Danio rerio: one gene and its partners. The protein of the gene in region 3 purifies or fractionates together with the protein of the main gene of each other region. This does not show direct contact. Links are inferred from orthologs where the notes say so. Each region holds a gene or a part of one and is shown on either strand. Other genes may lie near its edges.

What was found.
Region 1: the proteins of uri1 (region 3) and rprd1b purify together in Homo sapiens (affinity purification with mass spectrometry; 3 studies listed by BioGRID and IntAct, with this or other methods). This does not show direct contact. The link is inferred for Danio rerio from reciprocal best matches to the Homo sapiens genes URI1 and RPRD1B.
Region 2: the proteins of uri1 (region 3) and polr2h purify together in Homo sapiens (affinity purification with mass spectrometry; 3 studies listed by BioGRID and IntAct, with this or other methods). This does not show direct contact. The link is inferred for Danio rerio from reciprocal best matches to the Homo sapiens genes URI1 and POLR2H.
Region 4: the proteins of uri1 (region 3) and ppp1cc purify together in Homo sapiens (affinity purification with mass spectrometry; 9 studies listed by BioGRID and IntAct, counting the BioPlex papers as one, with this or other methods). This does not show direct contact. The link is inferred for Danio rerio from reciprocal best matches to the Homo sapiens genes URI1 and PPP1CC.
Region 5: the proteins of uri1 (region 3) and ppp1cb purify together in Homo sapiens (affinity purification with mass spectrometry; 3 studies listed by BioGRID and IntAct, with this or other methods). This does not show direct contact. The link is inferred for Danio rerio from reciprocal best matches to the Homo sapiens genes URI1 and PPP1CB.
Region 6: the proteins of uri1 (region 3) and polr3k purify together in Homo sapiens (affinity purification with mass spectrometry; 3 studies listed by BioGRID and IntAct, with this or other methods). This does not show direct contact. The link is inferred for Danio rerio from reciprocal best matches to the Homo sapiens genes URI1 and POLR3K.
Region 7: the proteins of uri1 (region 3) and si:ch211-140b10.6 purify together in Homo sapiens (affinity purification with mass spectrometry; 4 studies listed by BioGRID and IntAct, with this or other methods). This does not show direct contact. The link is inferred for Danio rerio from reciprocal best matches to the Homo sapiens genes URI1 and POLR1D.

The regions. Positions count from the first base shown.
Region 1 is NC_133198.1:46,851,370-46,854,869, forward strand, and holds part of rprd1b (regulation of nuclear pre-mRNA domain-containing protein 1B), read right to left. Parts: intron 3,121-3,500; coding exon 2,994-3,120; intron 2,426-2,993; coding exon of another isoform or gene 2,423-2,425; coding exon 2,247-2,422; intron 426-2,246; coding exon 276-425; 3' UTR 1-275. UniProt on the Homo sapiens protein: Interacts with phosphorylated C-terminal heptapeptide repeat domain (CTD) of the largest RNA polymerase II subunit POLR2A, and participates in dephosphorylation of the CTD by RPAP2. Transcriptional regulator which enhances expression of CCND1.
Region 2 is NC_133197.1:38,621,830-38,625,804, forward strand, and holds the start of polr2h (DNA-directed RNA polymerases I, II, and III subunit RPABC3), read right to left. Parts: upstream 2,801-3,975; 5' UTR 2,495-2,800; coding exon 2,422-2,494; intron 900-2,421; coding exon 816-899; intron 300-815; coding exon 206-299; intron 1-205. UniProt on the Homo sapiens protein: DNA-dependent RNA polymerase catalyzes the transcription of DNA into RNA using the four ribonucleoside triphosphates as substrates.
Region 3 is NC_133193.1:16,045,470-16,049,514, reverse strand, and holds the start of uri1 (unconventional prefoldin RPB5 interactor 1), read right to left. Parts: upstream 2,801-4,045; 5' UTR 2,514-2,800; coding exon 2,433-2,513; exon of another isoform or gene 2,029-2,432; coding exon of another isoform or gene 2,002-2,028; intron 1-2,001. UniProt on the Homo sapiens protein: Involved in gene transcription regulation. Acts as a transcriptional repressor in concert with the corepressor UXT to regulate androgen receptor (AR) transcription.
Region 4 is NC_133180.1:2,464,584-2,468,587, reverse strand, and holds the start of ppp1cc (serine/threonine-protein phosphatase PP1-gamma catalytic subunit A), read right to left. Parts: upstream 2,801-4,004; 5' UTR 2,619-2,800; coding exon 2,564-2,618; intron 1-2,563. UniProt on the Homo sapiens protein: Protein phosphatase that associates with over 200 regulatory proteins to form highly specific holoenzymes which dephosphorylate hundreds of biological targets.
Region 5 is NC_133192.1:27,031,225-27,034,875, forward strand, and holds the end of ppp1cb (serine/threonine-protein phosphatase PP1-beta catalytic subunit), read right to left. Parts: intron 2,312-3,651; coding exon 2,160-2,311; intron 2,057-2,159; coding exon 1,922-2,056; intron 1,825-1,921; coding exon 1,720-1,824; 3' UTR 501-1,719; downstream 1-500. UniProt on the Homo sapiens protein: Protein phosphatase that associates with over 200 regulatory proteins to form highly specific holoenzymes which dephosphorylate hundreds of biological targets.
Region 6 is NC_133178.1:45,547,072-45,551,091, reverse strand, and holds the start of polr3k (DNA-directed RNA polymerase III subunit RPC10), read right to left. Parts: upstream 2,801-4,020; 5' UTR 2,676-2,800; coding exon 2,565-2,675; intron 804-2,564; coding exon 716-803; intron 1-715. Other genes in the region: snrnp25 (U11/U12 small nuclear ribonucleoprotein 25 kDa protein), read left to right, coding at 3,220-3,411. UniProt on the Homo sapiens protein: Core component of RNA polymerase III (Pol III) which synthesizes small non-coding RNAs using the four ribonucleoside triphosphates as substrates. Can mediate Pol I proofreading of the nascent RNA transcript.
Region 7 is NC_133199.1:25,556,434-25,560,487, forward strand, and holds the start of si:ch211-140b10.6 (protein POLR1D-like), read left to right. Parts: upstream 1-1,254; 5' UTR 1,255-1,341; coding exon 1,342-1,364; intron 1,365-1,657; coding exon 1,658-1,732; intron 1,733-4,020; coding exon 4,021-4,054.

The DNA of each region.
Region 1 (3,500 bases), on a different chromosome or scaffold from region 3:
TAAAACTGAATCCTCATCTTTAGTCTCCTCCCAAAACCAAAATGAAGCCAAATTATTATCCGAGCAGTAAAAACTAAAAACCTACAGGTATCAGACAAAGCAAAAGAGAGTCGCTTTCCACAGCAAAGTCACGGCAAAACAAAATCTCGGCGTCGGATTTAGTGATGAGTGGACCGGCGGGTTTTGGAAATCTCCATACGCTTGTTATTGTTATCATTAATCCGCTCTGCTCTGCTCTGCTCTGCCAGTGTCTGTGAGTCTCAGAAATGAAATGTTCAGTCGGTGGAAAACAGATCTCCAGCAGACGGCAGCGGAGCCAGGCCGCCCGTCACATTCGGGAGCAGAGAAAGATCTGGAAGACTCTGGATGTGTGATTTCAGCTCCTTCCTCACTTGTGTGACACGAGCCAGTTTCTGCTTGTATTCCTGCAAAAACACACCGGATAAATCAACACACAAGGGCTGCACCATATTGGAAACATCTGATATGGTGATATTTAATTTTTCTGTGATAAATATTGCGATATGAAGTGTCTTGAAGAATATCTAGTCAAATATTACGTGCTGTCATCATGGCAAAGATTAAAGAAATCAGGTATAAGAAAAGAGTCATTAAAACTGTCGTTTAGAAATGTGTTGAAGAAAATCTTCTCTCAGTTAAACAGAACTTGTAAGAACTGGTAAAAATTGAGTTTAAGTGAGATTTTCCTTAAAGGAGAAATAAAGCACTCAGTCAAGTTTACTTTATTTTGTATACTTTAATGAAAATATATTAAACAAACTCGATTAATGCAACCATTTAGAACAAAATGGAGTGTTTTACTATAAATTTTAGACCTAGGGCGCCGCCAGCTTGGAATGTTGCTGTGTCTGACGTCACGGGGTTGGTTCCGTTCCCTCGGCTAAACATATACAGTAAAAGTAAAGAAGATTGTAAAGCCTAATTTAACCCAAAAGGTGAAGTTGTGGATTTGCTGCTGCAAATACAAGCATCAGATGTGTGTCTAATGTAAAGTTATATATATTTATTCTATTTTTTTTTTTCTATTTTAAGTAAAGAACGGAACAACCCTGTGACGTCAGACACCTCGACATTCCAAGATGGCGGCTCCCTAGGTCTAAAATCTATAGTTAAAAAACGCTGTTTTCTGCTAAATGGTTACAGTAATAGAGTTTAACATAGTTTCATTAAAGTGTAAATCCCATGTACAAAATAATATAAACTTGACCGAGTGCTTCATTTCCCATTTAAAACAAGCTAAATAATCTACCAATAAGGTAAGCAATAATGTGATTAAGCCAAAACAAGATTTTACTTACATCACTGGCTGGTTATTTTGCTTGTTTTAAGGAAAAACTCTCTTCATTGTCATTTTATTTAGGAAGACACGACAATAATTTCTATTTGTCTAGAAAAATTTCTCGATTTAAGAATTATTTATTTGGCATGCTTTAAGTTTTTTTTTTAAATGTATTTATTAAAATTATTATTATATTTTTTTATTTCTCTGATTTTGAGGTTTTCTTCTCTCTTTGCTTTTGGTTAAGTAAAAAAAGTTTGTTAATGTTTGTACAATATGATTTATAATAATAATAATAATAATAATAATAATAATAATACCTTTTATTTAGGTGCCTGTCTAGACACTCAAGGCCACCAAACAAGACAACAAGGACAGTCAGTTCAAATAAAAACACAATATAAAAGTCAATAAAATGCAAAAAAAATAAAAATAAAAATTGTTTTACACATACAGTTGAAGTCAGAATTATTCACCCTCCTGTATTTTCTTCTTTCTCTATTATTTCCCAAATGATGTTAAACAGATTCAGGAAATTTTCACAGTATTTCCTCTAATATTTTTTCCTCTATAGAAAGTCCTATTTGTTTTATTTTTGGCAAGAATCAAAGCAGTTTTTAATTTTTTAAAAGTCAACATTATTCGCCCCCTAAAGCAATATTTGTTTTTGGATAGTCTACAGAACAAACCACTGTTATACAATGACTTGCCTAATTACCCTAACCGTACCCTAATTAACCTAGTTAAGCCTTTAAATGTCACTTTAAGCTGTATAGAAGTGTCTTGAATAAACATCTAGTCAAATATTATTTACTGTCATCATGACAAAGATGAAATAAATCAGTTAATAGAAATGAGTTATAAAACTATTATGTTTAGAAATGTGTTGGAAACGATCTCTCTGTTAAACATAAATTGAGGGGAAAAAAAGATGTGTATGTGGTACCTCCAGCTTCTTCTCTCTTTCGTTGAGCGCGTCTTTCTGGCTCTGTATGTATTCGGTCAGCATTCGGGCCAGTTGTCTGCGGTCCTCCAGCTCCGCGGCCAGACGTCCATTATATTCAGCCAGCAGCAGACAGGCCTCGTCCACCGTCTTTGACAGCTTATCTGCTGCCTGTTTATCTGCTGACACAAACAACAACCAAACGAAGAGATTCATGCAAACCACAATGAGCAAGATAATGATCGAGTCAACACATTTCTGCTTTATATTAGTATATCCTCAAACACGTTAGCATTCACACGATAAACGCAAAATAGCCCCAATGTACATTAAACATTGAGGGTTTTTGATAATTAGCTTCGATGCATTGAGTAACACAGCTATAAGTGAATGAAAACATCCAGCTGAGGGTTAAATCTAAAAGTGCAGCATGTTTAAAACTATTGATTCTTTAGCAAAATAGTTGACTCAGAGTTACATATTACATAACCATTACACACTGTGATAAAGCCTGGTTTGTTAGTTCGTTGGCTCATATTGCTTTATCAATACAACCAAACTGCTCCAGAGTTCGTATCAACCAAGGCGAGACCATCTCATTCAGGCGATCTCAGTCCGACTGACTTGGTGCGGATCAGAACACGATTACACTATTCACATATTTCCAAACGAACTGAGCTGACAGGACAAACGTGCCAAGATAAGAAACAAACGGCTAGGTGTGAAAGCACCCTTAAACTTGATCTTAACCTGTTATCTTCTCCAGCAGAGAGACGTCCTGCACCTCCTGCGGAAGAGATGCGATCTTCTGTCTGACGGCGGCGTCTCCTGAAGCAGCGTTTTCTAGATCCTGCAGAGCTTTCACCAGGTCCTCCGTCTGCCAGATCAACACAATCAAGACATTAAGACTCAATCCCAATTATATTGTATAACCCCTACTTCAAATATACCCCTAAGAAATAGGACAGCACTACTACATCATCAAATGCCGTCGCAAACTCTTTCTTTAAATGAGATCGATGATGCCGACTGCTGTAGATTTTCCAGTTGTGCTCTTTTTTTTTGGTCTTTATCTTCAGGAAATCACCAAAAGCAACAATATTATGTTATCATATCGATACAATGCGGCAATAAGCTCATAACTGTACACCGTGTATTTACACCGTGGCCATATTCATCAATTTAAACACATAAACAACATTAACATTATAGCAGACACTGTATAAAGCCCATTCTCAGCCACTACACTTTTCTGAC
Region 2 (3,975 bases), on a different chromosome or scaffold from region 3:
CAATTCCTCATTGATTAAAAAAAGTTGCCCATCAGTCATGACACTAGAAAAGTCATTTAAACAACTTTAATGATGTCATTAGTAATTAATTTACATTTTTGGGGTTCTATTTCACTATACGAAAGTGTATGTGTAAATAAAGGCCTGATTTGATTTGATCGTAGACATGAAATATCTAAGATTTAGTTTAGGAGTAATGTATGACCTGGACGGCCGGTCGTCTTGAGGATTGTATTCTCCATCGTCCGGCGTCCCGTCCTCATAAAGAGTGCTGGCGATCACCAGTCTGAACTTGTCACCTGACACAATGACATCATCCTCATTAGCATATGACAGCAACACAACATTATCATCACTAGGGCAGCAGGATACCGGAAAAACATGTAAATACTGTTGGAGTGCTGATAAAACCAACACAATCTCACGGCAATTCGTAACTTTTTCATTTAGTGGCTAATTCGTACGAATTCGAACGATCTAATTCATACATTTTAGTACGATTTGCTCATCTCCAAATGACGGTTAGGTTTAGGGGTGGGGTTAGGTGCCACGCCTCCTTTTTTATAATCATACAATTTCGTTCGTCTGAACAAAACACTGGAGAAATTACTTTATTTGTTTGTTTTTTTTAATCATTTATTTATGCAATGACCAAATTAACAGATAAGTAGACAAGTAACAATATGAAAATGTAAAAAGGTAATGGATTATAGGTTGTTTGCACATGACATCATTGATTGAATGTGTGAATATAAAACCAACTTTACCTCTATGCAGCCCAGAGAACAACACAGAGAGCAAGAACAGTGACTTACCAAGATCAACAGGGTAAATCTGGATGTTGACGTCCAGGATGAGGTCCATCTTGAAAGACTCACTTTCACAGTGAAGACGAGACACTGATCATCACAAATACAAAACAACAAATCAAGAGTGTTTAGTGAATTCTAGACTTTTAGGGGGGAAAAATAATAGTGGTTGATTTATAAAAAAAAAAAATAAATAAATAAATAAATAAATAAAGTAATTAAATAAACATCTCTGCCTTCTGATATGCCTTTTACGCAGTTTGTTTTGATTTTATTTTTATTTTAATCACTATATATTATTTAGGTAGCATCAACAAAAAGAATATTAAAGAATATAGATTTAAAAATTCTAAGTACTAAAAACACTTATTATTAATAGTAATAATAATATTGTTTTATTTGCATTTAAATTGACATTTAGACAATGTAAAAATATACTATTAATTTTTATTTAATATATTAATATTTTTTCCATTTAAAGTAAATATTAAATATATATGATCAAGTAAATGTACAAGTTAAATTAAAACTTTAAGCTCTTCAACATCCATTATTAAAGTAGTATTTATAAATATGCAATAAGCTTGATTATTATTGTATGATAAAAAAAAATCTTCAGAGGTAAAGTTGGTTTTATATTCGGATATATTCAGACTTTCTCCTTAATAATATTTTAAGAAAAAGTATTATTTGCCAATACTAAATATAGGGAAATCATGTTAGCAGCAAATGACTATCAAAGTACAACATTGTTCACATTCAGATAAACAGTGTTAATGTTGTTTACAAGTCATACTTGCGTGCTAATTCCGATCGAAAACTCAAAGTAACATGGTCAACAATATAGAGACTGCAAAATGAACGAATGTGCAAATATAAAACCAACTTTACCTCTATATATAAAAACAGTAATTAAATAAACGGCTCTGCCTTCAGATATGCCTTTTACGCAGTATGTTTTGATTTTATTTTTAATTTTGATCACTGCATATTATTTAGGCAGCATCAACAAAAAGAATATTAAAGAGAATATATATTAAAAAAATCTCAAATAATAATTAATATTATTAATAATAGTAATAACAATAAAATTGTTTTATTTGCATTTAAATTGACATTGACAATGTAAAAAAATACATTTTTAATTTAATATATTCATATTTTTCCATTTAAAATAAATATTAAATATATATGATCAAGAAAATGAGCTAAATTAAAAATTAAAAAGTTTTAAGCTCTTCAACTTCCATCATTAAAGTAGTATTAATAAGTATACAATAAGTCTAATTATTATTGTGTGATAAATAATCGAACCAACAAATAAACCTTATTGAGGTAGTTTTATATACGCACATTTAGACTTTCTCCTTAATAATATCATTAAATAAAAGTATAATTTGCAAACTTTAAATAGTGAAGTCATGTATGTTTACATGTGATTTACATGTGAGCATGGAGAACGTTAAATGAAGGAATGTGCGAATATAAACCAACTTTTCCTCAATCTAAATCTTCATGCTGTTTGTAAGTTTTATCAATAACTAACGTTATAAAACACATTGAAGAGACTTTTGTTTTATCCAGTAAATAAATAAGTGAATGAATGAATCACCTCTGTCAAACTTCTTCCCATCAGGATCGATATCCTTCACATCAAAGATATCCTCGAACAGAATCCCAGCCATTTATACTCCAGCAGGATACACTAAATGCTCAGTTTGGTGAATTAAAATCCCGCTGAAAACTAAATTATGTAGAAATCAACACAAAACTCGACGGAGACGCTTCATTCAAACACTCTCCTGCTGAATGCTGTTTTGAATAAGCGCTTTCTGGTGCACTTCCTGCAGATACACTGTGCGTAAACTCGTCCCAGCTCAGAAATATTAATAATAAAACTACTGTAAAATGAAGCAACTTTCTTTTCGTTCAACACAAATATGAAACATGCCGCGAAACAATGTGCTTCGTCTCTGGTCACTTGATTCACTACTACTTCCGGTTCGTGGCGCGCTTTTTACGACAGTAGCGTATTCGATCTTTTTATTTTTTTTTTGCCTGTTTATTTGTTTATTTATTTGTTTGTTTATTTAATAGTATATGGAGGATTAAACCTGCATAAACAATAAGTAAATAAATAAATAAACAAAGAAATACGCAAATAAATAAATAAATAAAAATATACTCAAATTCGTGCATAAATAAAAAAATAAATAAGCAAATAAATTAACTAACTTATTAATAAATAAGTACACAAATTCCTGTATAAATAAAACAATAAATGCATAAATACGCAAATTAATAAATAAATTAATTAATTAATTAATATACACATTTCTGCATAAATAAAATAATAAATTAATTAATACGCAAATAAATGCCCCATAACCATGTTATTAATTTAATTATTAATCTGTCCACATTCTAATCCGTCCTCCATAATAGTGAACATACCTGCATAAATACCAGATTAATGCATATTTTATATATATATATATATATATATATATATATATACAATAATGATAATAATAATAACAACATATTATGCATATACATAATATGTTATTATTATTATTATCATTAATAAAATTATTATTATCATCATTATTATTTTTATTATTATTATCTTTGTCAAAACTGACTTTGTATTTATTAATGTTTTGTGTACATATTTATAATTTAATAATTTTTTAACAATACATATTAAAATACAACTTTGTATGTTATAAATATGTACAGAAATGCATGTAATATTTGTCATGTAAAATTGCTTTAATAAAGGTTAATATGAATATAAAAGTTAGTAAGTAAATATAAAATATATTATAAATATATATAATTTATTTATTTTAGTTTAGTTATTCATAACCATAAATAGTTTAAATGAGAATTTAAATTATGAATAAACATGATTGTTTTAATAAAGCATTTTTTTCATAAATTCTTAGTTTTGTTTAATTGTTATTTGTTTATCAATATTAGCATATATCAATATTAAAACAAGTGCTTTGTCACTATTACTATGTTAATATTACTTTAATAAACGTTACTAAAAAAATAATGCAGCGATTTCCCATTAACCACGAAATTCAAAGATTCGAAGCACAAATTACTACAAATCTACACCACATTAAAACTACAATTTTTTTACGACACTCATTTC
Region 3 (4,045 bases):
AATATTAAAAATACCACAGACAACAATTAACAACCACTGCTAAATTATCAGTAATGTTTTAGTAGCGTGAATTGGCCATCACAGAGAATGACAGTCCTGAAAGTTCCTTGTGAAAAGTGGGACAAGCCTTTACATATTATTCCCATTCATGTCATTTCTCAATAAAATCAGAGTAAATGTTACATTTTTTTTTTTTTTTGCTATTGAATGTTTTTTTTTCAATTTCCATAAAAGGAATGAGGTTATTTCAGAGTGACTGGCAAAACAATGACAGTTTCAAGGTTAATTATGTGCTAAACTACTAAAATAATGTGATGATAGTAGGTTAATTATAACTTCCAATGTAAATACTGGTGTGGAATATGCAAGATCTTTACAGATTCTACAGGTAAATGACAAGATGATGTCAAAAAAATTTAAATAAACACACAAACACACACGTTTTGTTTGGCTGTACGATATTCTGCTATATCAGCACTTGTACAGCCTTCATACTCTTCTGTATTATTCCGCCCACATAGAGTGACAGCAGATGAAAAAACTTACTACAGATTGACAAATATAAGGGTTTTGGACAACATAATGTACTTTTGAGGTGAGAATGTAGTTGTTTAGATTGCAACTTTGCAGTTTATTTATAAGGATAGTGGCAATTTTAGAATATTTATAATTTCTGAGAGACCGTTAGCCTGTCACTGAGCAAAGCATAGACGGTTGACGTTTTGCTACAGAATGGCGACAAAAACCTCGATAAGTGCTTAGGGGAGGAAAAATTCAGCAAAAATAAAAATAAAAAAAATCAAATTACAGCTGATCAAATCATTATAAATAAGTGTCACTAAGTTGATGTTTCTCTTTTGTATGTTGTAGTGCTGTATTTATACCATAGTAATCTGGTTGCATTTGCGTTGCTTTGGTTTTTTCGGGGTTAATTATTGTGATCCCCCAATCGCAACAGAGAAATACTGGGAAATCTCTAAACATTGATGGCATTTCATGCCGTTCATCCTTATAATCTTAAAATGTGAGCAAAATGACCTGTTTTGTCATCACTTTAGACATTACGCTAGAGAATCCTTTAAATACTAGCTCTAAAGTGACGTTAGTGAATTAGCACAGGTTTCTGCTGTTCTGATGTCAGGTGCAGATGTGAATAATTGCCAGAAGAAGGTAGTTCCTCATACAAAAGTGTTTTTGAGAGACTCCGGTAGTCTTATGCCACTGAACTGTTGAACTCGTGGCAGTGTGATATGGCTGTATATCGTCACTGGTGGGACACTAAGGCCAAAGGGTACCAAAAAAGAGGTACGGTTCGCTTTTAGGTAACTTTTGACATTTTAAATGGCCATAAAAGCATTCCGAATACTAGGTAATGTCAAATAGAACTTTATAATTCTAAGGTGACGAGATTATATATATATATATATATATATATATATATATATATATATATATATATATATATATATATATATATTAGACACACACAATTATAAAACAAACTTTTGTAATATAAAGAAACTAAATTTATGACAAAGTAGTAAATGAATGATAGAATGATACTGGCAGAGAATATGGATTAAAAGTTACAAATACTTTGTGTTTTGGGGTTGCACTGTAATGCTTAGGACTAGGAGTATTTTAATGTCATCAAATGATACATGTTCTAAATATACCTGCCAATATACAGTATATTCTACTTGGTATAAACTTCTGTTATGGTAAAATATTTTTTATGGGTGTCTTAAGCTAAATGTGGCCATAATAATAAATGTAATAGACAAAGCTATAATTATTATTTTGTTGCTCAGGGATTCTAAAACAGTTTTTTTTTAAAACACATCTTTGCTGTAAAGAAAGCAGGTCAAACGTAATTTTCAAATCCAGCCAACTGGGTGTTTATCTTCAACTGTGAACAAATGGGGTCAAAGACATTGTGTGTATGACATTCACCTATTCTTTTCACTCCATGCACATAGAAATGGGTCAATTAAACCTTACCTTCACAGGGAGTCGTTTCCATTTCATTGCCTACTCTAAAAGTACTTTAAGCTTTTACTTGCTCTATACATTAAGGCAACGTGGGCATGTGCCATGTGGTTGATTAAATTGGAGTTAACGTCACATGTAAAGTTTTCTACTAACATCAAGATAAGCTTCATGTAAACACATACACGTGGATTTTACAGCAAAGTATTAAAAACACATGCAAACAAAAATGCAGTAACTGCAAAAAGAAAACCAACGGCAACACGTGATACAGAGAGAACTTTCCAGAGAATGAAACGGGCAACGCTGCAAATATACAAAATAAACGACATTAAAATCGACGACAAATCTTTCAAACGCTGATGACAAATCACGTTTATGAACATCAACAATAATATCTGCAGGAATGCATTGTTGTTATGGAAATAAACATTACTCCTGACCTTCCTGTGCTCATCTTTCAACCTCTCCACGCCTCGAGGCAAATCTCTCGTACTCCGTTTGACTTTCCCAACTGCAGCCATTTGCTCGTGCATCCACAATCAAGCAAGGTTTTTGTGTGATTAAATATCCAAAACAATGAATGCTCAGGGGTTTGAAGTCCTATAGAAATGTTTATGAATGCAATGTGATGCGTTGCACTCAATTTGTCGCCTCGTAGTCATCAATGAAGCAGAACGAGTCGTCCAGTATATCGAGATTGAGACCATTTCACACGTGCATGGTACGATGTCAATCTAATCCCGAAATTTCCTCTTGTTTACAGTCCACCGACGGCCTGCTTCCCCTGCGCCATGTTCATCTAATCACGGATGTAGTACGTGCTCTGGATATCGCTCTCCTTCTACGACGCAAGCACGTGATCTCCCACTTTTGCTATTTAATTTCACTTTCATTTATAATTTTCGACTTTAAATGCTTAGCTGCAATAAATTTATTGAGTTATTCGTGGACTTAAATGATTACATGCTGAAATGAAATTAAATAAACAACTTTTAGTATTAACGCCACTCTTTAAAATTGGCAAACGAAAGTGGTCGCTTGTTGGGACACGTGTATATATACATATTTTGATAACAGTAAATGTAGGTACTGTCTAAGCGCTTTTGTTCTGTTCACTTTATATGTTTAAATGAAAACATGGGTTGATGATGAGAGGATGTAAACAATCCTCACGCCAACGTCACGTGACGTTACGAAACAGGAAGTCGTACAATTTATGATTCGACAAAAACAAAAGGCTTCTGTACAATTCAAGGAGCTTAGAATGACCATTCATGATCATTCTAAGCTCTTTGGTACAATTTCATGTAAGAAAGTTTGCTCATTACCCCACATTTAAAATAAATAAATAAATAAAATAAGAGAAGTTACATTTAAACTGATTAATAGATGCTATCCAAACCATTTGGATCTAAAAAGGCTTATGAATAATATTAACATCAACTGTCCATTTTGCTTAGAGATTCCTAAAACTTCTGTTCATTTATTTTGGAATTGGCCTCATTCAGTGACATTTTGATGTGATATTCTTGATTTTATAAAAGATTATGTGCTGGCACATTTTGCATTTACTTATAAGAATTTTTTTTTTTTTTTGGTTTCTGTAAAAGTCAAAAGGAAAGTAATACTTATTTCATAACCTGATTTTTTTGTTGGGCAAATTTCATATTCACAAAAACAAATTTTGTAAGTGTATTTTGTTTAGGGTTAGGATTTTCTTTCTTAATGTAAAATTGAAATGAAAATGTATTTTGAGTCTATTGAGGGATCAACAAACTTAAAAGCAATAAGAACAAGGACTTTATTGCAGGATTTGGCACTTATCTTGGACTAGATGACTGAAAACCCCTGGATTGTTGTTGTTGTTTGCCCTTACAAAAATAACTGCAGTAAACGAGAGCAGTAAACTGAAGTAAAACTGCAGTACAACAGCAGTAAATAGAAGTATAATTGCATATGAATTAAGTACAATTGCTATAAAAATGAAGTATAAACACAGCTCAAATGCAGTACAATAAAGTTTAACTACAGTTTAAGTTCCAGTTAACAAAAC
Region 4 (4,004 bases), on a different chromosome or scaffold from region 3:
TTCTACAAACATTAAAAGCAGGACAGTCTAATAAAATATTTAACAGAGGAATCTTAGAAAATATGCAAGGAGTAGGGTGTTCCTAATATACTGGTAATATATTTATTTTAAAATAAATAATTTTAAATTTAGAGCCATATTTGCCCATTTGTGATATCACTGACATTTTAAAAAATAAATTTGCTTAATTGTTTTTTATTCATTATTGCGATGTGAATTAATACAGAGATTTGATTATGAAAGTTTGTAATTTAGGCTTTGGTTGCAACCTTATGTTTGTAAATGTTGTGGCGCTTTGAGCTTAGAAAGGTGCATCATAATTAAACATTATGCATTATTATTACCCAAATATAATTTATAGCATCTCTCCATGACAATGTCAAAATTTTAGCGCAGCCATTATTTCACACTGCATAAAAATAAACCTAAGCAATAAAAAATCTTTAAATAAGCAGTTTTATGTATTTTGTGATTCATGTTTTTACTTTCCCCCATTTATTTACGCTTTTGAATTGGATTATTACTTTCCTCCAACAACTTTTAACCTTGTAAAGTTAAAAAAAGTGACTTATTTACTTTTTTAATAGCTTAAAGTGATATACTGTCTGGTTGGTGTTGTATATTACGCTACAAAAACATTGTAACAAACATTTTCTATTCTTTAACAGACTTATTTCTTTAGATATTATTTTTATACATGATATTATTATTTCAAATGACTAAAATGTGAATAAGTCACTTTGTGCACTTTTGATGTTAAAAATACAACAGAGGAGAGATCAACATAGCATAATGCAATTTGCCACCGCAAATAAACCCAAAACACACAAAATAGAGAAACTGTTCACTAATATATTTTTTACAGTGTAAGAGGACAAAGTAAAAGCACATGCATATCAGTATGTGTATGATGCTGAAATCACTACTGCAGAAAGTACAAGTAAAAATGGGTCAAAGCTGCTGCAGTGCTAAATCTGAAGTCAGACCCGCTTATGAAGGATACATACCTTAATAATACATTTAATGTTAGTCTAAATAATAATATCTGCCAATATGAACTGTGTTGCATATAAAAATTAAACAAGCGAGAAATGTTATGTAAATGCATTTCTTCACTGTATACAATAAAACTATAAAATCTTGCATAATCATTCTGCCTTTATTGCACCTGCTGCTTTTATAATGCATTCCAGAAAGCAATTATATTTTGCAAAGATACAATTCATTGTATAATAAAATATAAATCTATTTGTATAGTGCTTTTCACAATAATTCATTTCAAAGCAGCTTTACAAAAGGTGCACATTTCATTACAGTCAATTCAAAAAAAAGCTAAAATGTTGTAAACATAGTTGGGCTCATACACATTTTTACTACTAAAATTTCATGATTTTGCCAAGACTTTCATGTAAATGTTCATGACCTAATGTTTCATGCAATGTCTACATATGCGTGGTAAAAGAAAAGCAATGCATGTTCAAATTTATTAGAGCATAGCATAAAACATGCAACAATCCATTTACTTTCAATTTATATCCATGCAAAATTAATTTAGATAATGCTTACACCGCACTAATAATATGAGAGTATGTGATTGGCCAAGGACAGAAAATAAGAGAAAAGCCTATATTCAAGTATTTGTCATGACTTTTCTAAAACTGTGTAGGTTTTTCTGTTTTTCCAAAACTTTTCCAGGCCTGGAAAATGCCATGTAAAAATTCCATGACTTTTCCAGGTTTTCCATGACTGTATGAACACTGTATAACCTGCAGTTGTACAGGATGTGATGTCCTTCCCCCCCTAAAAAATATATTTACATGTAATAATAATACATGTTTAAAGTCATAATATAAGCAAATACAGTGTTCATATTCAATCAGAATTAAGAGTTTATCATGTTTTAAAGTTCTCATTTTCAACAGTTTCATATTGTTAGTCATTAAATAAGGTTTTAAGATGTCTAATTAAAGCAAGGATTTTTAATAAACATTTTATAGAGATGACACCCTCAAATTGTATAAATTTGGGTTGAACTCAAAAATATTGTTTTTCCTAGCGCTAGAAATCACACTTTTGACATTTCAAGCCCTGTTGTTAATTTTAATGACTGTGGTACACTAATAAACAGCTGTTTTGATGCTCAAATATGTATTCAATATCATAATATCAGCATTAGTCAGTGTACTAACGTAATGTGTTTACTGAAGCACCGAAACCGCGCGTACAGCTTGGCAGTGTCACAAACACCAGTGAACTGCCCACACAGAGTGTATTTTATAGTCAAAAGTACTGTCCATTCGAAACCAACCAATAATATATAATCTTCAAATATATCAGTATAGTGTCTATGTAGAAAACTCTGTATTTGACACACAGCCGTTTGTGTCAGTGAGCAGAGCTAATGCGCAGCTAACTCTCGCTAGCTCAGCTAACGTAACATCCATAAAAACGACAGAGTTGATAGATCAAGCATATACATATACACACACAACCCTTATGGCAATTATATAGTTACTTATGTTATTAAAAGTACATTTTAGCTGTCACTTGGCTTGAAACTCACCCTCGAGCAGGCGCTGAATGATGCTGTCTATGTTGAGTTTGTCGATGTCAGCCATGACTAGCCGATAAAAACACAAACACCACCGCTTAAAACACACCAGACACGACAGATAAAACGACTTCGATTAAAAACAAACTGGTTAATCACAAAACTCTAAAAGAAAAGATTAAAATGCTCGAGCGGGCCCGTTAGACGCGCGTGCTGCGGCGGTGGCGCACCGGCTCTGCGGAAGGACACGCAATTCGGCTCGGTTTCACCGCTGATGGAAACGGGAGGGCGGATGAACACAAAGGAAAGGAAGAAAAGTAGTGCGGAGGAAAGAGGAGGGCGTGCCGCTGACTTTCACAATAACGTGTGACGTTGAATGTTAATTGCAATGAAAAACTTTTAAAAACACATGTTTAAAACATATCCTACACATTAACATAATTATTTATTTTAACCAACAACGTCTTTTGGCATGCTGTTATTACAGTAGACCTAATACAAATATTATTTCATTTGAAAAAATTGCATTATGCATTTAATTTATGCTGATTCGGGTATACACATGTACTAGTATTACATTATTTGACAGTTCTGTTTATGTTAATTAACCAGATGCCTTGTCAACTGTTATTTATTATAATAACCTAATAAAAAATTATTAATTTTGGCATAAAATCTAGTTTTACAGTATTTGACATGACCTTTTATATTAACTAACCACATTTTTTTGTCAATTGTCATTCATTATAGTAAAAAAAATATTATTTAATTTGTAGTATTTTTGCATTAGAAATTAATTAATGCTGATTTTGGCATTAAAAAAAAACTAGTTTTATAGTATTTGACATTACTTTTCATGTTAACTAACCTCATCCTTTGTCAACTGTCAATACCATTACATATTTTGTCATTTGTGGTAAGGTATTTACTCAGTATGCATTTAATTCATGCTAATTTAGGTATTAAAAATACTACAGCATTGCAATGCAGGCCCGTAGCCAGCCTATTAAAAGGGTTCTCAAAAAGTGGAACTTTTTGCAGCTATTCGGCTCATTTTTATCAAATACATTGACATTTTAAGCACAAATTTTTGGATTAGCTTGTCGGATGGTTATCATTACAATACTTTTTGACGCAACAAATATTTTCCTATATTTTTGTCAAAGTGCTTACCATACTATTAACAAAAAATTGTGTTTATTTACAACTGTGCATTTAAAATTTACACTATTACTTTTTACAAATAATGTAATGAGATTAGAATTTAAATTAAACATTTTGAACTAAGAAATTCGAAAAAATACTTATTTTTTCAAATGCTAATTTATTATTATCCATCATAAAATAAGGAATCTGTTCAAAGTTGTTTTAAATTAAAAAACTTAAGCCTATATTTAGAGAAATTATCAACCTACGTCACAGGGGTTCCTGGTGTCAATAGTAATAGTTGTGC
Region 5 (3,651 bases), on a different chromosome or scaffold from region 3:
TAACTCTACCATGATAGAGTCTGTTTGCTTCCTTAAAATAAATTTAAATATCTGAATGGTCAACTGCAATGTTCCAGTAACATCCTACCTGAAGAGCACAAGTCAGTCCTCTAAAACCCAAAGCCCAGATTACTTCATGGAAACATTAAATGTGGCAGGATTATTTTGTGATCGATTAAATACATTTATTCAGGTCATTAAACAAATCCGATGTGAAATTTCAGATGGTACTTGAATCAACTGAAAATAATCTCAGCACATTGTCTGCTTTTGTCTGCATTGAAATGGAGCCTGACCCTGCTGGGCCGCAGTAGCCATGACAACAGGCCACAGATTGTCCTCGTCCACATTTTCCAGCACTGGAGACTTACAGTGCTGCTTATTTTAATGAAACACTAGGAAAAAGTCGGTTGAATAGCGTCCAGAACTATGGTCTCCGCCACTTTAATTAGCCTGGTATTTATACGGTTGCTAAGGGAAACAAAGTCAGAGGCGGCAAAGAGAGTTTTCTTCCATTTATTAATTTTGAAGCCCACTTATACAAAACTCATGAACTGCTTTTAGAACACTTTGATAGCTTTTCCCAACGTTTGGAAATAAATTAAGGAGAAGTAAACAGCAACACACACAAATAAAAACATTAAAAAAAGAGTGTGTTATGACAGATGAATATCCACATGAGGAAGAGCAACCCTCACACAAAGGCATTGTTGTTTAGTCACATGTGCTACTCTTTTAGTTGTTAAACAAATCAAATTAAATCACTTTTAACCTTCGAAATAATGTTGGGGAACTTCAAACAAGTGTGACTCTTCAACTTGGAGGTTATTTTCCACTTGGTTTAGTTATCCAATGAGAAAATGGCTGGTGGATTACGTCATTTCAGACAGGTTATTACAGACATGTACATGGGTCATGCAAAGTGTTATGCCGTGACACTTTTCTCCTGAATTATTACTATCGTCAGACATAAAAACAGCACGTTAAACAGAGGTCTATAGAGTTTTGCTGTAAGTCCCAGAGGTTTTTAAGAAAACAGAACATGCAATGCCGTTTGTAAATGCAGCTGTGCAAATGTGTGTGTGTGCGCGCGCGCATGTCACGGTATCCAATTTAAAATCCCTTTTTCTAGCTTTGTCCACACTGACCTATTTTATCGACAATAGATTTGCGTCTGTGTGAAGTGTCTGCTGACCTGTGACCCTGACAGCGTTAGGTGTGTGTGTGTTCGTGAAAGCCTCTGGTCTTGAAACTTCATCGTGTAGCGAAATACACATCAACCATTAATACTTACAATCATCACTCTTTCTTCATGAATCGACATTAATGTTCAATAATCAAAGAGTACTGAAGTAAAGTTCAACAAAATGCTTATATATCAGCACACTACCGAGATCTTTGCGTAAAAGAACGAGTGTGTGTTTTGCTCTGGGATCTTTGTAGAGCAAGTCAGGAGCTGCTTACCAAAAGCAGTATTTATTATTATTATTTATGTTATTAAAATACCAATAAACAAACAAGCAGAGCAAAAGAAAAGAGAATTCCACTGGTCACAGCAAAATTTCTGTACACAAATTTTAAGAAAGGAGAAAGAGGTTTGGCAGGGCGAGTAGACAGACTTCAGAGGGGGAATTGGGAAGGACAAGCTGCCCCATACAGGGGTACTTTGCTGAAGGTGGGGATGGGGGATGGAGAGTGTGGTTCCGGCTGGCGAGCCGCTCACCTCTTCTTGGGGGCTTGGGCAGTACGGGGCGGGGTCACAGGTCGCCCTGAATTCACCCCGCTGTACTGATACTTTGCCTTCTTTTCTGATGGCTTCAGGATCTGAAAGAGAACAGGGAGTGTTTGAGTGTATTTGGAAAGCACAATGCATGCTTGTGTGTGTGTGTGTGTGTGTGCGTGCACGTGAATAATGCCACACCTGAAAAGAGCACATGAGTGACTCATCCACACTCATCATTCCACCGGCATTGTCAAACTCCCCGCAGTAGTTTGGCGCTGAAAACAGAGTGACCAACTGCCGCTTCGCAAAGAATTCATAACCATCCTCAACCACCTGCAAAACAGCACACGATCACTACACAAACTACAACACAACATCTGCACGTCCAACTCATGAAACACAATAATGGATGAGATGGGTTGAAATGAACTGTTACCTGATGTGCCCTACAGATTAAGTCCAGGTCGTGGCGGTTCAGGAATTTGCTGACTACATCAGCACCAAACGTGAATGAAACACCACGATCATTCTCTCCCCATCCCTGAACGTCCTTATCGGGGTCTGACCACAGCAAATCACACAGCAACCCTGCAAGAGTAAGAGACTCAGCATGAAATCACTAGAGAACAAGTGTCTGTGATATTTTATTATAATATCTTAAGTTCATTTAGTTGATTGCTTATATAATGGCTGATTTATACTTTTGTCTGGCGCCACGTAGTAGACCTTTGTTGACTGTGCACGCACCTCACGAAATGGATGAGGCTTTTATACTTGATGCGTTTGCCGATTAAATATTTTTTTAAATGAAAGGGGTTGGTCAAGAGGTACCCACCGTAAAATCAAGTAAATAGTTTCCGGAAATACGTCATATCAATAATGTCATTCAAGATTTTTAAACTAATTATTTTTTATAAATTATTATAAGCATTCAAGATTAATTAATAAAAAATAAATCAATTAATCAATCAAACTTTGATGCATCACTTGCTTTTGTTCATATCTTAGACAATTCCACGTATTATAGTTTATTAAAATATTAATTATAACAGAACAGGGGTTGCTCTACAAATATATTTTTTTATTTTAAAAAGTACAGTTACTAAAAAATAAATTTAGATTTAGCCTGATCAACAATTCACACATTACTGTCTGGCTAGTTTATGTCCTCTACAGTTGTATGTTAAAAAGGTCCAACGATCCTGACCAATATCACAAATAAAGCCTTGAAAAACAGGGCATCAGTATATTGTAAACCGTTTCAAATATTCTTTCCAGTTATAAAAACAAATAATATGTTACTTCATTTTAGTTTTCTAACTATTAAATTGTTTTAAATTCAAAATTGTAATATATAAATCAGTGTAACACCTATGAATGGTGGAAAAGCATATTCTGTAATTGTGTATAAAACCACCTGGGTCTCCATTTTTGACATGGTCTCACTTTTTGGTTTTAAGAAACTTATCCCTCAAGTTTTTCTGAACTTTATTACAAAAACTCTCTTCCTTTTCCCATGGCTGTTGCAATTTCTAGCCAAATTGTTGGTCATCGGGTTGATGTCTGTACAGTCTTACCTGTTTTAGATAAAATCTCTTTAAAGTGATTCATATTCAACTAAAAAGAAATGCGGTGCCAGTCTCAAAAATGCTCACTCAAGCAAACGCGTCACATATAAATCATCCTTAAGTGGTCAATCATTATTAAATGTAACAACATGTTTTCAATGACCAACGTTAAATTTAAGTGAATATACAAAACATTACGTTGTGGCGACCCCGGGTTATTAAAGGGACTAAGCCGAAAGGAAAATGAATGAATGAAGGTTAAGATGAAGCAAAAAAAAAAAAAAAAAGCTAGATGAAGATAAAAATTTTACTTATATAAAATGTAATTAAATCTAAATGACCATATTCAATGGCGAAAAA
Region 6 (4,020 bases), on a different chromosome or scaffold from region 3:
ACACTAGAAACACACTAAAGGACACACCAATCCATACTAGATACATACTAACAAACATACTAAAAATATATTAATCCACATTTGAAACATAGTAATAATATACCAATCCATGGAAGAAAAACATAACATACTCCAAATATACCAATCCATACTAGAAACATAATAAACCACATTAAAAAACAAACCAAGGCCACACCAATTCATACCATAAAACATAATAAAAATATACTAATCCATACTAGAAACATACAAACAATATACCAATCTATACTAGAAACATACTAACGGACACACCAATCCATACTAAAACATACTAAAAATATACTAACCCACACTAAAACATACTAACAATATACCAATCTATACTAGAGACATAAACCACACTAGAAACATACTAAGGACACACAAATCCATACTAGAAACATACTAACAAACATACTAATAATATACCAATCCAGACTAGAAACATACTATAATAATCTAATCCACACTAGAAACATACTAACCATATACCAATCTATACTAAAACATACCAATCCATACTAGATACATGCTGACCTATATGTAGTTATCAATCTATGCCGACTGTTTCAAAATTCTTAAAAACTATTTCAATTAATTAAACTTTAAAACTACTTCAAACTTTCAGACTAGTCTCAGTCAATCCACCATAAGTTTGTGAGCAAACTTTACTTTTCAAGTTTCATTTGTTTACCTGCAGTGGAATCCACATTTTCCCAAGCAGCAGATCCTCCAAGAACATCATCAACCTCCTTCAGTTTGGGGTACTTTCTGTTGTTTACCTGTTAAAGCACATAAACAGGTTTGTTTTCCTATTTTTTTATCAGGTCAATGATACTGTCTATGCCTGACCATAAACCTAACCCTCATAGAAACAAGCTTCAATTGTTAGATACTAATAAAAACAAGGATGGTTCAAGGTGATTTATAAGTGTTTTTAATTTTACTGCAAGTTGCTGAGACTTATTTTAGTATGTTGAAGGACCTCAAACTGAAACTGCATATTGAGTAGGGGGCGGGGCTTTCTTTTTGCACATCATTCCCTCATCAACTAAAGGTAAGAGGGGCGTGGTTAGGAATATTGTGGATGCATCTGCCAAACTGACATCATCAGAGAAGGACTGCCACTCCAAACGCCAGAGCAAATGGTCAGACTTTGAAGATTATCAGAACAAAGATTTTTTTTTTCGGTGAATTAGCTTGCATGGATTTATCATTTACCTAAAGAATAGCATTGTGTGCTTGTAAAATAAACACTGTAAATTTGGATTTCACACAGACTTTAAAGAATATATATGCGGAATGTTGAAAAAAACTATCAATGACATAAATAGCAAAAATACTATGACAAGTGGCTCTTCTTTAATATGTCACTGTATAAATACAGTTGTTACCAGTGTCTAAAACAGCGTCATTTTGAATTCTAATCAGAGTTTGAAATTGACTTTTTCACTTAACAGCCAATTACATTTACAGACCAACTAAGCATTGAAAACTTGTATGTGTTTTGGCCATTTGTTTGCACAACAGCATTTTGGGGGATGCAAAAATGAGTTTTTAAGAGCTATCTTTTAAAAACAATGTCAGTAGTTTATAGAGGTGATTTATTTATCCAGGTTTTGTGTTATGATTCTGAAGTTAGTATTGTCATGTGCTATAATTGCATCTGTGTCTTTAAGACGGGAAACAGGTGGCATGATGGGAAGTTTTGTAATGTTACGGAGTTCATAGACACAAGAGAAGTAAAGAGTGGTGGTAAAATGTTAACCTGCGTGTGGCACTGTGGCTGATTTAATTCAGAAGTATGTGCAATTTATGAATGAACATTTGATGATAAGACACACATACATAAGTATCTATGAAGTGACATCAAATATAAACTTTTAAGTATCCAGATGTTTATCCACCTGAAGCTATAACAATATTTCTAAAAAATTTCTAAAATATTTTTAATTCCTACGTTTTCAAGATAATATAAACGAAGTTCTTGGTTTATTAAGTACATTGAGTAAGTTTATATCTTCTGTTAAACAAAAGAAGATATTTTGAAGAATGTTGCTGGGATCCATTGACTTCAATCAACTCTTATTTCCTACTATGGTAGAAAATGGGTGCCAGCATTATTCAAAATATCTTTTAATGAGAATTTATTCTAAAACTGTAAATTTTATACATAAATATAATAACGTGATGAAATAAAGAGCATTTTAAAGTACAATACAATCTTATAATCATTTAACCATTTCATTTAAGTAACTACTCAGTAACCCAGCGTTATTTATCATGCTCTGAAAGCAATGTTTGATAGAACATAAACACTCCCTCACTCAAATCTATTTTTGTTATATAATTTGTAATGTTAGAAACATTGATCTCATCAGATGTTCCTCACACGTTCTCATATTATCGAATCAAGTCATTTCTTTCGTTTCATTCGAATCGAACTTTTAAATGTCGGCGTTCCGTCGAACTTTAATGCGTTCGAATCAAACGTTCCAAACGCTTATTAGATACAAATTTCCATAACCGGTGTTATGCATTACCTTCCTCGTGATGTTGTGCACATATGGACATGTGTTACACGCGAATCTAAAGCATCGCTGTCCTTCTTCCACGATTAACACATTCCCACATGTCGGACAAAACAGGAGCATTTTCAAACAGTCATAGATTATGTTACGTAGTAAATACAGTTATAGTTTCTTTCTGATGCAACTGAAGTTGGTATTTACACACAGTCCTTTCTAAGTCGCTACAGGAAGCACATGACAATCAATGTGCCTCTGTATTATTGGCTCGCCATAAAACGAAATATAGACAAGGATGAACACTGTTTCTGTTGTATATATTAAACTTAAATATATATGAAAATGTCAACGAATATATTAATGCTGATTAAAAAATATTTTAATAGAAGATTGTTATTGTAATAAAGAATGTGAATCATAAAAAACCTATGCGGAACTAAAGTCGGGTGCATCACTGAAATATTCCGACAGCGTGTTTATAAAAATGAAATGTAAAAAGAAATGCTGGAACGGCTCAAATTGTTAAAGTTACAATTTTTAATACAATAAGCTTCTGCAAAAGGCGTACAGTTTTTTTACGAAATTGTAGTTATGTTAACTATTAACGCTTAGTGACTTTTTTATAAGTCTTGGATTTCTATACCCTCAAAACAAGACGTTTGAAGATAAAATGGACGAAATAAAGGACGAAACCGAGCTCAAAAAAGAGTTAGAGGAGAAAACTGTGGAAGATGAAATAAAAGAGGAGCACGAAGAGGAAGAAGACGAGGAGGCTCTTCCACACTCAGAAATTCTGGACATCTTTGAAGAAGGGCTGGCTCTCATAGTGCAGGACCCGCTTCTGTGTGACCTGCCCATTCAGGTGTACATGCAGTCAAGGGGCTGTTTTAAACGGACAATTCACCCAGATATTAAAATGTTCGGTTAATTGACATCCCAAGATTCTGTTCTTAAGTAGAACAGAAAATACGTTTTTTTTTTAAGTTGAGAACTATGTTTTCCTATGTACGTTATCTATATAATGGTGGTCAAGAAGCGCCATCACTTTGAGTTTAATATATTTAAAATCTTCCTCAGAGCTGTTTGTCCAGGTTGTGAATAGCTGATAATGTAGTTGTAAATACTAGAGGGTAATAGTTCCAGCTTAAAATCTTCTATATTCTACAGATTTTTTTTCAACAGTTTCTTCTCCTCTGTGTCAGTATAATGCTCACATTTATGTGCCGCGTTTGGTTGCACCTCTGACTTGCTTATTACCTCAAATGTGTCTGTGAATTGTTTCAAACTAAGGAAGTCATAGTCAGTACATAAGTGCACACCACTCGTGAACACATGCAATACACTGAGGAGAAGAAACTGTTGAGTAAAGTAGTTATTTTTGTTTTATGTGCACACAGATGTATTCTCGTAGCTTGATAATATTCTGATTGAGCCACTGTAGGCATATGATCTGTTTTGATGATGATTAATT
Region 7 (4,054 bases), on a different chromosome or scaffold from region 3:
ATCTAAAGAAAAAAAACATTAATTAAATAGTAATTATTGCTCACAAGTGACTTAGAATTAAGATATTTGATCAAGTTTTTTTTAATTATAAGCATTAAAACATAACACTATGTATTAATAAAAATTCAGACACAAACTATATCCAAGACCATTACAATAAGTGCAAAAAGCCACATCCAGAAATAATATTAAAACAAAAACATAACAAGTAAAAATATTAAATTAAATATAACTAGTAATAAAAAAAAAAGATTGGCACACAATCAGACTACAGTGAGGGATCAGTACCAGAAAAAAAAACTTCATGAAATCTAACATCAAGTCATTTTTTTGTTATTAATTTGCATTAGAAACTTTTTCAAAGTTTCCATTTCTAATAAAAATTAATAGCATTTTGGTATACACTTCGCAAACTTCTGTTTATGAATAAAATATTAACCTTGTAGCATGTAAAAATTAACAACATACCAACATACTCTAATGAGTGTGTGTGTGTGTGTGTGTGTGTGTGTGTGCGTGCGTGCGTGCGTGCGTGCGTGTGTGTGTGTGTAAAGAGCAAATACAATCTTTTAACATGTATTTGCCCAAATAACACGTCACTAACATCATACTAAAATGTAAGAGACATCACAGTTATAGAAAAGATGTGATAAGTGTGCAAGTATTGTCAACATTCATGTATTTAGATAAGATAAAAAGAGATTAATTGATTTATTTATTATTTTATTTATTATTTTTTTATTATTATTAAACAGCAGCAAATATACAATTTAAACATGACATCCAAAACTACAAATGTAACCTATAACATAAAATAAACTAAAATATAAATTACATAAGTTAAATAAATAAAAAGACTGTAAAGATATTATGTCATGTAATGCGCTTTGGGATCATGTAATGACGTAAAGAACCGTCGGAACATGTTGAACTGTTCCATTCAGAGCTGCTGTTCAAATGAACCATTTGATGAAATGACTCTGATTTTTTCACTACCGTTCGTTTGACAGGCTGCAGACGGCGCTGTTAGTCGAATATCAGTTGTGACCATCGAGATGCCTGATTAAAGTGCGATCGTAAAACCTATTATTAAGTCAAATAATAAACTAAAATAGACTGTTTAAATGTACGTACTTTTTGTTCCAAGTGCAGATAGTTTCTACATTTTTAGTTTGAATTTTACTGTCTGCTCACTTCCGCAAATTTAGTCAAAACTAAGATGGTCAAGCGGACCGGGGTCCTAAATTGGGTCCTCGAGAATAGTAAACACTAACGTTACTGGTTAGCAAGCTGGAACAAGCTATAAATTAACAGTGACTGCGGTTTAAGGTTAATTAGATCATGGAAGACAGTGAACTGGAAAGGTATGATATTTCTAAATGTCAATTTTCCCCCTTTTGACCAGTTTATTGGACTAGTTTACGATGCAGAATATGCTAACGCCCTCGGCTTCGTGCAAATTGGTCAGTAAATTTGTGTAAACCAAAACCTGAGACGAAGCACCATACTTTTGTTATATAGCAAACATTTCGGTATCCTAGAAAAGTCTATTTTGCACCGTCAGAGATTTAAACGTGCTATTTAATTTGGGGTCACGGTAATACATAAATTAACCCGTTTCTGTCGTCAAATGTCTCACTGTAAATAATTTCCCCAGAAAAGCAGTGGAGGAGCTCCTTAAAGAAGCGAACAGAGCAAAAGCCCGTGTCGAGACAATGGGTCCTGCTGGATGGTAAGTTTGGATCACTAAATTGATAAATTACAGATATTTAAAGTGACCAATTTGAAGTCTTTTTCTATTATTAGTAACCACTATTGCCCCCACTCTTTTACACACACGCGCACACACACAAGGGTGTAACTTTGGTTTTCGGATGTGAACTTAAACCTGTGTATGTATATATACAGTACTGAGTACACCCCTTAAAGATCTGTATTTTAAATTAATATGTAGTATAAAATGCTTTACAGTAATGCATTTTGCACAAACTCTTTAGATTTTAAGGTACAAAAGCCAAAACTGTGACTAATCAAATATGCTTTTCACAATAATCAATATATCGACTTATCGCACAACACATTGACATGACATCTATCATTTTTGGTGATGTAATATATATTGCCCATATATAAAAGTCAATTCTAGCAACATTTTAGCTGATGGTGCAACCTCTTTATGTTACTGTAGTATATTTTCATGCAGGTGTCTGACAACTGAAAATAGATCTGGTAGCAGATCTTGCAGCCTCTGTTACTTTTTACATTGCACTTTTTACTACTATTTATTCAGGATATGTGTTTTCACATGCTGATTCCCCTGCCTCATTATTAAAGTTAAAATGACTATAAATTAAATGAAACATCCTTAAGAATAAAATATTATGTGGTCTTTAGAAGAGTGTACTTGCATTTTGATGTTATTATATTGTCATTTTGGCATTATATAATAAGTGGCATAAAATGGTCTCAAAATGACAATATTGTTCATCATAATATATGTTGGTGCAATATATCATACAAGAAAAAATAGATATTATGACAAGCTTATAATTAAAAAAAACTATTTAAGATCACAGTGCAAAAATCAGTACACCTTAATTAATATACTGGGGGAAAATATTAAATAATATATTAATAAACGGGAAAAATACTTTTTTTTTTTTTTTTTTGCAAAAACTTGTTTGATTGTAAGTGTATTATTTTCTATCCTCGAAGGTGTTAAATGACTGAACCATATAACTGTTCTGTTTAAATAAACCAAAGATGATTGGCTGTATTCATTGGAAAATGGCTAGAAGAAATATTTATTTTTAATTGGGTGTAATCGTTTTTACTGGTGTTTTTACGGGAGAATCTTGTGGGAGTGCGGTAACAAAAGTGTCAAATGACTAATAATTGTAGAACATTTGAGCTGGCTTCAGTCCTTAGTTCTTTCATTTTCCTTTTCATTTTATTAAAATATATGTATTTAACTTGTTTGTTAATTAAATACAGTTCTGTCATTTAACCTATTATTTTTATGCAACAGTCAAGTTGCATGCTAATTTGCTCTGTGAAGGTTACGCGATTTATGTTTAAAATGTTGGTTATCGTCCTCCAAATCAAAAGATGTATGTACAGTATGTATGTATGTATAGACATTTACATTAGATGTTGCCTACGCTTTTTTCATCTATTGAAAGGAATTTGTCGATAGAGTCGCCATTTTAGTACAGGGTAGCGCTTCTTTAAAATGAATGTGGGTTCAAGGTGCAGCGGAGGACTGGCCATCCATATATACACATATACACATTTATTTACGATCGGGGGGTTTTCCATTGGTCAGTATGCAAATATTTTATGAAATTACAAAAATTATAAGTTTACATCACTTTTCTATATTGATGGATAAATGATTGCATGGGCATTCCTGGCAAAGAGTGTGTGATTGTGTGCATGGAAATGTATTATCTACCCTCCCTGTTTAATTTGATCTAATTCATGTCCTTAAACACACCCCCTCTCCTGCTTTCACTTTTCATTCCAACGGAGGGAGGGATTCGTTTGTGAATGAATCTCTGTTAAGAAGGACTTGATCACTTAGTTGACAATAATACAAGTTTTCACAGCAGCACCTTCTTGTTATATTTCATTTACATTGTTATCTCATTTTATTCAACAAAACTAGCATAAGTCTAGAATTGAGTGCCAGTTTGTAACATACAAAAACATAAAAAACGAAATCTTACCTATGAAATGTTCTGCCTTTGTGCTTGGTTTTCTTTGTTTGCTTGTTACTACACCCGTAAGCAGTGCTAAAGTCCAGCATCTTCACATTGGCTTTAGTCTTGATTAGTGCAGTTGAATGATGTCCTGGGAGCACTGTACAAATGTGGCGGCGCAATTGACGCATGCTCAGGAACCATATGCGATAGTGTATATATCTATGGAATGTATGTATGTATGTATGTATGTATGTATGTGTGTAATTAACTACTATATATGTCTCCTAAAGCTGCTTAAATTGCCGTTTTGTTTTAGGATGAAATGTCCACTGGGAAGCACAAACAAGCGC